2 linked regions of the Saccharomyces cerevisiae S288C genome follow. The main gene of each other region encodes a partner of the protein of the gene in region 2 in a complex. Each region holds a gene or a part of one and is shown on either strand. Other genes may lie near its edges. A codon is read from its position in the direction of its gene.

The links. Proteins that work in one complex are often made in the same cells at the same time.
Region 1: the proteins of MDY2 (region 2) and GET4 are in contact, whole or in part, in a crystal structure (PDB 3LKU), measured with the Saccharomyces cerevisiae proteins. Residues at the interface, in NP_014530.1 of Saccharomyces cerevisiae: Thr3 (codon at 2,242), Ser6 (codon at 2,251), Glu9 (codon at 2,260), His10 (codon at 2,263), Phe12 (codon at 2,269), Val13 (codon at 2,272), Ser14 (codon at 2,275), Phe16 (codon at 2,281), Leu17 (codon at 2,284), Thr18 (codon at 2,287), Leu19 (codon at 2,290), Ala20 (codon at 2,293), Thr21 (codon at 2,296), Pro25 (codon at 2,308), Lys26 (codon at 2,311), Leu27 (codon at 2,314), Pro28 (codon at 2,317), Lys29 (codon at 2,320), Ser30 (codon at 2,323), Tyr31 (codon at 2,326), Thr32 (codon at 2,329), Lys33 (codon at 2,332), Leu35 (codon at 2,338), Lys36 (codon at 2,341), Val38 (codon at 2,347), Thr39 (codon at 2,350), Asn40 (codon at 2,353), Leu41 (codon at 2,356), Gly42 (codon at 2,359), Val43 (codon at 2,362); in NP_014807.3 of Saccharomyces cerevisiae: Glu128 (codon at 1,058), Tyr129 (codon at 1,055), Lys130 (codon at 1,052), Phe131 (codon at 1,049), Pro134 (codon at 1,040), Leu145 (codon at 1,007), Asp148 (codon at 998), Val150 (codon at 992), Tyr151 (codon at 989), Arg155 (codon at 977), Met158 (codon at 968), Leu159 (codon at 965), Gly160 (codon at 962), Trp175 (codon at 917), Gln178 (codon at 908), Val179 (codon at 905), Thr186 (codon at 884), Glu189 (codon at 875), Phe190 (codon at 872), Arg193 (codon at 863), Phe196 (codon at 854), Asn197 (codon at 851), Phe200 (codon at 842), Ile201 (codon at 839), Ser202 (codon at 836), Asn203 (codon at 833), Ile204 (codon at 830), Ser205 (codon at 827), His208 (codon at 818), Glu227 (codon at 761).

What each region holds. Positions count from the first base shown.
Region 1 is NC_001147.6:642,894-646,285, forward strand, and holds GET4 (protein GET4), read right to left. Parts: upstream 1,440-3,392; coding exon 501-1,439; downstream 1-500. Other genes in the region: polyphosphatase DDP1, read left to right, coding at 1-414; dynamin-like GTPase SEY1, read left to right, coding at 1,673-3,392. UniProt on the Saccharomyces cerevisiae protein: May play a role in insertion of tail-anchored proteins into the endoplasmic reticulum membrane.
Region 2 is NC_001147.6:106,206-111,131, reverse strand, and holds MDY2 (Mdy2p), read left to right. Parts: upstream 1-2,235; coding exon 2,236-2,874; downstream 2,875-4,926. Other genes in the region: ZEO1 (Zeo1p), read right to left, coding at 494-835; SHR5 (Shr5p), read right to left, coding at 1,243-1,956; Rab GTPase-activating protein MSB4, read right to left, coding at 2,944-4,422; putative serine/threonine protein kinase SKM1, read right to left, coding at 4,839-4,926. UniProt on the Saccharomyces cerevisiae protein: Required for efficient mating. Involved in the production of alpha-factor, the KAR9 and TUB1 location to the shmoo tip and nuclear migration into pheromone-induced shmoos.

The DNA of each region.
Region 1 (3,392 bases), 540 kb from region 2:
TCTTCTGCACACAAGAAAAGATGGATTGTCCCCAAAGGTGGCGTTGAGAAAGACGAGCCTAATTACGAGACGACTGCCCAACGAGAAACTTGGGAGGAAGCTGGTTGCATAGGTAAAATTGTCGCCAATTTGGGTACAGTTGAAGACATGAGACCCCCTAAGGACTGGAACAAAGACATTAAGCAATTCGAGAACTCTCGAAAAGATTCAGAAGTAGCAAAGCACCCGCCAAGAACCGAATTTCATTTTTATGAATTAGAGATTGAAAATCTCCTTGATAAATTTCCGGAATGTCACAAAAGACATAGAAAGCTATACTCTTATACAGAAGCTAAACAAAACTTGATAGACGCCAAGAGGCCTGAATTGTTGGAGGCCCTTAATAGGTCTGCTATCATTAAAGACGACAAATAGCTAGCACATACATATATATGTATATACGTCATGGTCGTCAAGCCACCGCAAACATATTTATCTATTCCTTCGCAAATATGCTCTTTTCACTTCGATCCGCCCAGGAATCCCGACATCATGTCTTGTAGGAAATTCGTTTGTTTAGGAGCAACAATATTGAAATATTCCTGGCCCAAAAATTCTAACTCACTTTTGTAAGCTTGAGAAAAATCTAAATAATGGTTCTTTAAATTCAAGAAATAGCTCTTATCCTTAGTCTGACAGGTAATTAGCAACAATTGCAAAAAATTTAGGTCGGAATAATCTTCAAAAAAAACTATTTCATAACCATTTTTATCAATTTTCTCGTACTTGGGGTGAAATTTCTCAATAAATCTTTCCAAAAAAATGTCTTTTGATTCATGTGCAAATGATATGTTAGAGATGAATAAATAGTTGAAAACCAATCTGCTGAAGAACTCAGCCACCGTGCTATCTTCGATATCATCAACTTGGCATAACCAGTCCCATAGTAAATCGACATATTTGATCATTGAATCATGTGTACCTAACATAAAATATCTCTCAGCTTCATAAACGAAATCTCCCTCTAATAGTTTGCTACCAATGGTGTTGTGCAAGTAAGGATCTCCAAATTTGTATTCACTAAATTTGATAGACCAATTGTTCATACCAGTAATAACGTCCTTTAAATTGGGCTCGCTAGGATCCAATTCGGCTATTAATCTAACCAATCTAGCAACTGAGATGTCATCAACTTTAACTTCCGCTAAATCATAAACTTCTAAAAGATAGAAGATCAAATCCGTGCCTGAACCGCCCTGCTTCGCCTTTAAAAATGAAAGGGCCCCTTGACTAATTAGTTCTATGGCATGCTCGTATGATTTACTTCTAACATATCTATTAGCAATAGTTCTCAACGTTTGATGCGCTTCGTAATAATCTCCAGCTTTGATCTTATTTTCGAATCTTTGTAAGGTTTTAGCGAGTTTCGCTTGTACAGCATTAGATTCAGCAGGAACCATAGCTTGTTATTATTATTTATGTCCCTTTATGATGTTTACTTGGTTGTTTTACCGCACATGTTATTATTTCATTTTTTTGACTTTCCTTTCACTTTTTTTCCCATTGTTTGTTACCTTAACGAAGAGCGACAAAACGAACAAAATACTGAAAGGTGTATTTTGATGGTAAATAATTATTGACTTATTTCAACAAACGGGCTACTAACTCACTCGACGGTTGACATACTTTAGTCATGGCTGATAGACCTGCTATTCAGTTGATAGATGAAGAGAAGGAATTTCATCAAAGTGCATTACAATATTTTCAACAATGTATTGGAAATCGTGATGTTGGTCTAGATTACCATGTCATCTCAGTTTTCGGTTCTCAATCGAGTGGTAAATCGACTTTACTTAACGTCTTGTTTAACACCAACTTTGATACCATGGATGCTCAGGTGAAAAGGCAGCAGACTACTAAAGGCATTTGGTTGGCTCACACTAAACAGGTTAATACAACTATTGAAATCGATAATGATCGTCCAGATATTTTTGTGCTAGATGTTGAGGGCTCCGATGGTTCAGAAAGAGGTGAAGACCAAGATTTTGAGAGAAAAGCCGCTTTATTTGCCATTGCAGTATCTGAAGTTCTTATAGTTAATATGTGGGAGCAGCAAATTGGGCTATATCAAGGTAATAATATGGCTTTATTAAAAACAGTTTTTGAGGTCAACCTTTCCCTATTTGGCAAGAATGATAATGACCACAAGGTGCTGTTACTTTTTGTAATTAGAGATCATGTAGGTGTGACTCCACTCTCGAGTTTGAGTGATTCCGTTACGAGAGAATTGGAAAAAATATGGACAGAGTTAAGTAAACCTGCTGGTTGTGAGGGTTCTAGCCTGTATGATTATTTCGATTTAAAGTTTGTCGGGCTAGCTCATAAGTTGTTGCAAGAAGACAAATTTACCCAGGATGTCAAGAAATTAGGTGATTCGTTTGTGATGAAAGGTACGGAAAACTATTATTTCAAACCTCAATATCACCATAGGTTGCCATTAGATGGTTGGACTATGTACGCAGAAAATTGTTGGGATCAAATTGAACGTAACAAGGATTTAGATCTTCCAACTCAGCAAATTCTGGTTGCTAGATTTAAAACTGAAGAAATATCTAATGAAGCTCTAGAAGAGTTCATTTCAAAATATGATGAATCGATTGCTCCTTTAAAGGGTAACTTGGGATCTTTAACATCTCAGCTAGTGAAGCTAAAAGAAGAATGTCTGACAAAATATGATGAACAAGCATCGCGCTATGCAAGAAACGTTTATATGGAGAAACGAGAAGCTTTAAATACAAAGCTGAATTCACATATTTCAGGTACAATTAATGAGTTCTTGGAATCATTAATGGAAAAGTTATGGGACGATTTAAAATTGGAGGTGTCTTCTAGAGACAAAGCTACTACCTCTTTTGTAGAAAGTGTGGCGGCAGGTAAGAGTAAGATTGAGAAAGAATTTAACGAATCAATGGAGACCTTCAAAAAGTTAGGGCTACTAATATCAAACGAAGAGATTACCTGCAAATTTTCCGACGATATTGAAGAAAGAATCAAGCAACTACGTGATGCTGAATTGAAAGCAAAAATCGGTCGTATTAAAAAAAATCTGGTTCCCGAATTAAAGGATCATGTGATTCATTTACTATCACATCCATCCAAAAAGGTTTGGGATGATATAATGAACGATTTTGAATCTACTATCAAAGACAATATATCTGCGTATCAAGTGGAAAAAGATAAATATGATTTTAAAATTGGACTTTCAGAGAGCGAAAACGCGAAGATTTACAAAAATATTAGAATATTGGCGTGGAGAACCTTGGATACCACAGTACATGACTACCTGAAAATAGATACGATTGTTAGTATATTGAGAGACAGGTTTGAAGATGTATTCAGATATGATGCTGAAG
Region 2 (4,926 bases):
ATCAGTTTGCAAGAAGTCAGTTGGTTGGCCTTTGCTATTAAGAGACCATAATGTTATAGTGATTGAGATCAGTTTCACCAACTAATAACAATTAACCCGGGCGGTTAGTGTAGTGGTTATCATCCCACCCTTCCAAGGTGGGGACACGGGTTCGATTCTCGTACCGCTCATATTTTTACTTTCTTATCAAACTTTTTTTCCTCCGGGACGTGAAATAACCGCCGAGGTTATTCTCGGAGCATTCTTTTTTGTGGCTTTTGATCATCCATCATCATCATCATCATCATTATTACTACTACTACTACTACTACTATTATTATTATTATTATTATTATTATTAGTATTATTATTATTATATTGATTAGTTATTAGATAGATACAATTAAGAAAAATTTATGTAAAAGGTCAGAATAAACAGCATTTTTCTCCTCTTTTTTTATTTTTAAAAAAAGAAAAAGAAACTTCTAGTAAAGTGCAGCACATTCAAGTGTGATTAGTTGAAAATGGAAGCAATTTTACGGTTCAATTTCTTCAAGAAACCGCCTTCCTTCTTGGTTTCCTTCTTCTCACTGACGGCGGCGGAAGCTTGCTTCTTAGTTTCTTCAACTTTGTTGGCAGCTTCGGTCTTCTTTTGTTCGACACCATCAGCAATGTTTTGTTCTTCCTTCTTCACCTGTTCAGCTTCTGGAGTAGCTTCATTTTTTAGGTTGTCGATAGAAGCTTCAGCTTGTTCCTTTACTTCTTGGCCCTTGTTTTGCAAAGATTCTTTGGTTTCTTCCAACTTTTGTTGGACATCTTGGGCGGCAGTTTCAGCTTTGTTTTGAATTTCAGACATTATTAATTGATATAAACGTAGTTTTGTATGTTTCTTTGATTTGAACTTTTAAGTATACAGAGAAAAAAACCGATCAAAGAAAACTAAAGTATAATGAGGTTAAAAACGAAAGTAATAAAGTAGAAAGGCTATCAAGCAAACTGAGATGATCTTCGACGTAAAAACTCGCTCTATATATATACGCCATATAAGCCCATCGGCGATGGGGGACAACACGAAGAAACAAGAGAAGAGGAGAACCGCACAGAAAGCAGCAGAAACAGAGCAAACCAGCATTAACTAAAGATGATAAAAATAAAATTAGGTAAGAAACCTTAATTGGATATACAAAAATACACTGGAGGCACAAATCGCCATCGATATAAAACACGATAAAGCCCTGGTGCACCCATAAACCACACGTTTAACTATTTGGGTCGGGGCACGACGAAATCTAGGGATAGGCACCCGGACCGTCGGGGCAATACTAGGCGCACACCGCGCTCGTGAAGCAGACCTCCCGGCGAGTTTAGCTGCGCCACGTACTGCTCTAACGCGAGAGACTCCTGAAACACAGGTCTAGAAAGAAGGGGCCCCAAAACCCAGCTCCACAGACCGCCCGTAAGCATATCGAGCAACAGGCCACTTAAGTTACGCCACCCGAACACCTCACCTTCTTCACGCAGCAAGAATCCGTTTACCCGGTGCACAACCTCCGCGAGCTCTGCCGCACTAAGATATTCTGACAGAGGCGAGACGGAGGAGCAGCCAAACACGTGATCCCCAATGTCGTAACGCCCGCACCGCACAAAGCTAGTGCCATCGTCGCCCACGATTGCCGCCGGCTCGCTACCGGGAAGCTGTGTACTAAATTGTGGCGTTTCAAGGCTGCTGCGAGACTCATCGAACCGCCGGGGCACTCGTACCACCCGGGTCACCTGGAACTCGGCAGAGCCCCGAGCAGCATACACATTCGGGAAATGTGTAATACACAATTTGTGGTCTTCGTCGTGCTCTGTGGGTTTAGCGTCTTCGGAACCGAGGTCTTCGTAGAATGAATACGAAAACTCATGGTAATTAAAAAATAACGCCCTTTCGCTCGTATTTGCGTTATCTTCTTCCTTTTGATGGCTATCGCACATCTAGTAAGGGTTAGATTGAGTATTGTCCTCTAATGTAACTTTTTCCTCTTATTCCTCTCCTCCCCTTAGCTATTATATATCTTTTTTACCGAATCTTGAATTAGGAATAGTTTTAAAATCAGGCCGGAGGCCGAGCTTGCGACAACTACGACCAAAAAAAACAAAGGAAAAACGAAAAGAAGAAAACATGCACAGGAGAACATAGTTGGAGAAAAGGGTTAGAACAGACCGATACAGAGATAAACTAGCGAAGAATAATAACTTTATACAAAATTAATCATGAGCACATCCGCCAGCGGTCCAGAACACGAGTTCGTTAGTAAATTCTTGACCTTAGCCACTTTAACTGAACCGAAGCTACCAAAAAGCTATACTAAACCTCTGAAGGATGTTACCAATTTGGGTGTCCCGTTGCCTACTTTGAAGTATAAATATAAGCAGAATCGTGCCAAGAAGTTAAAACTGCACCAAGATCAGCAAGGTCAAGACAACGCCGCCGTCCACTTAACCTTAAAGAAAATTCAAGCTCCCAAGTTCTCCATCGAGCATGATTTCAGCCCATCAGATACTATCTTACAAATAAAACAGCACTTGATCAGCGAGGAAAAGGCCTCCCACATAAGCGAGATAAAACTGCTTTTGAAGGGCAAAGTCCTCCACGATAACCTGTTCTTATCGGATTTGAAGGTCACGCCTGCCAATTCCACAATCACAGTCATGATTAAGCCGAATCCGACTATATCTAAGGAACCCGAAGCCGAGAAATCCACTAACTCCCCTGCTCCTGCTCCTCCACAGGAACTCACTGTGCCCTGGGATGATATCGAGGCTCTTCTGAAGAACAATTTCGAGAACGATCAGGCTGCGGTTAGGCAAGTCATGGAGCGTCTACAAAAAGGCTGGTCTCTGGCCAAATAAGATTAGTATAGTTAGTACGTACATACTTGTTATTTTACACAGTTGCGCTTTTTATCACGGTTGCGCTTACTATTTTCTTCTTTCCTTTGGGCGGCTACTCGCCCTTTGTCTATTTCTCGCCATCGCCACATACTCTCTACCGCGATCAATCTTTTCCTGGGTAATACCATTCAACGCAACCTTCTTCTTCATCAGGACTTTCTCAAAGATATCATTCGGATTGAGCAATCTTTTTGGGAAATTTTGAATCACTTGCAAAATCTCCATATCTGCCTCTTCCTGCGTCTTAATCTTGTTCTTTAATCTTTTGAAAGTTGAATCAGAGTCATTACTACCACCGAAGGTGTACGAAGAGTACTGTCTAAACAGTTTCTGGCTTTTACTCTCCAAAAACTCGCTTTCGCTCAATTTCAGTATCCCCAAAGCCACTTTAAATAAAAAATGAGACTCTTCATAGAATAAACAGTCCCATATTCTCAGGGTCGTTTCGATGGGCACCACGCCCACAAAACAGCTCATAAACCAACTTGCCGTACACAGCGTCAGCGTAGGCAGCCTGCAGAGATATTCTTCCCCCGATGCTGGCCCTGATATCTGGTCAGTGCTGCCATTGCCATTCATATACGATGACTCAATGTGTGACCATATCTCGGGTAAATATTCCTTGATACATAACACCAACACCCCTTGATCCACGTTCGCACCCTCTAAGTCTGATTCATACACGCCAGGTAAATACTTACCGGTAATAATAACCAGCATCCAAAATGCTTTCTCTTCTTCCATGAACAATAATAGCAATCCAACGAGAAAATTCATCGATTGGCAGTATCCAATAGTCTTGTCATAAACAGAAAAGGCCATTAATACTCGACGCAATGATCGGATGATCGCCGGCTCTCCATTTTGGAAGGACTCCTTATGGAAATGTATATTATCGGGAAACGTTCGATAAAGATCCCGTTCTATAGCTTCCATATCTTTACCAGATACGGCACCCTCGCGACAGTCACTTTTCAGTCTATCATAAACGCCAACATTTGCGTCTAATTGTCGTTGTCCACCAGCAAAATACCACCAGGCATTCCCTCTCCATTCTGCTGGTATACCTTTTCTAACAAATTTTGACAATTCATCTGTCCTTGCAGGATATACTAGAGGATTATCATTGTGGAGCTCAATCTTATTCTTAAGAAGAAAGTTCTCCCACTTTTTTTTTCTTCTTTCGGTGTATCTATTATATTCTGTCCACCATTTGTCGTATTCTTCCTGACTAATGAAATATCCTTTCTTGCTAAATCCATATCTATCAAAATTCTCAGGATCTGCCATGATTAAGCTGGTAAACGCCTTTGCTTTTTCAAGCTCACGTGTTGTCAATATTTCTTTTCGTTCTACTGTAGAACTATCATCCCCTTCATCGTCGTCATCGTATAAATCAAGAACGCTATAATTGGCATCGTCTTCGTTGAATGACGAAACTGTGTCAAAAACACTTTCGTTCGGTACCAAGGCGGCTTCTGTCGACATAGTTGATGACATTATCATCCTGTCATGCCGGGTTTTGCCTTCTGTGATTGTAAAAGTGTGCGAGTCTTCCTCGATTTTGAATTACTTCGGTGCCAAATGTACAAAATACTATCCTAACTTTTCAAAAATAGTTTATTCTTATAAAATCATCCGTAAAATGATTAACTGTCCCCGCTAAAAGCGTTTGTAAGCTCAGTTCATAGATATGTCTTCCATCCGTAAATCCGCCTAACGAATAGCAACACATTCTTTTTCCTTTTACATTTTCTATTGACATAACGCGAAGCAAACGTATCATTGTTGTTTTTTTTCTATAAATAATCAAAAAGAGTAATTGTTTTAGATGAAATAAAAATGCGATTAAAATATGAATCATACATACGTATATACATATATATATATATTGTTTCTCCTAAATAAAAAAAAGCTAAATTTCAATGCCACTTTAAGGATACTTTGAGCTGCTCAGGGCTGCATGCCATTGACAAAAATTCAAACGTTAGTAGTTTTCTCACGGATGCT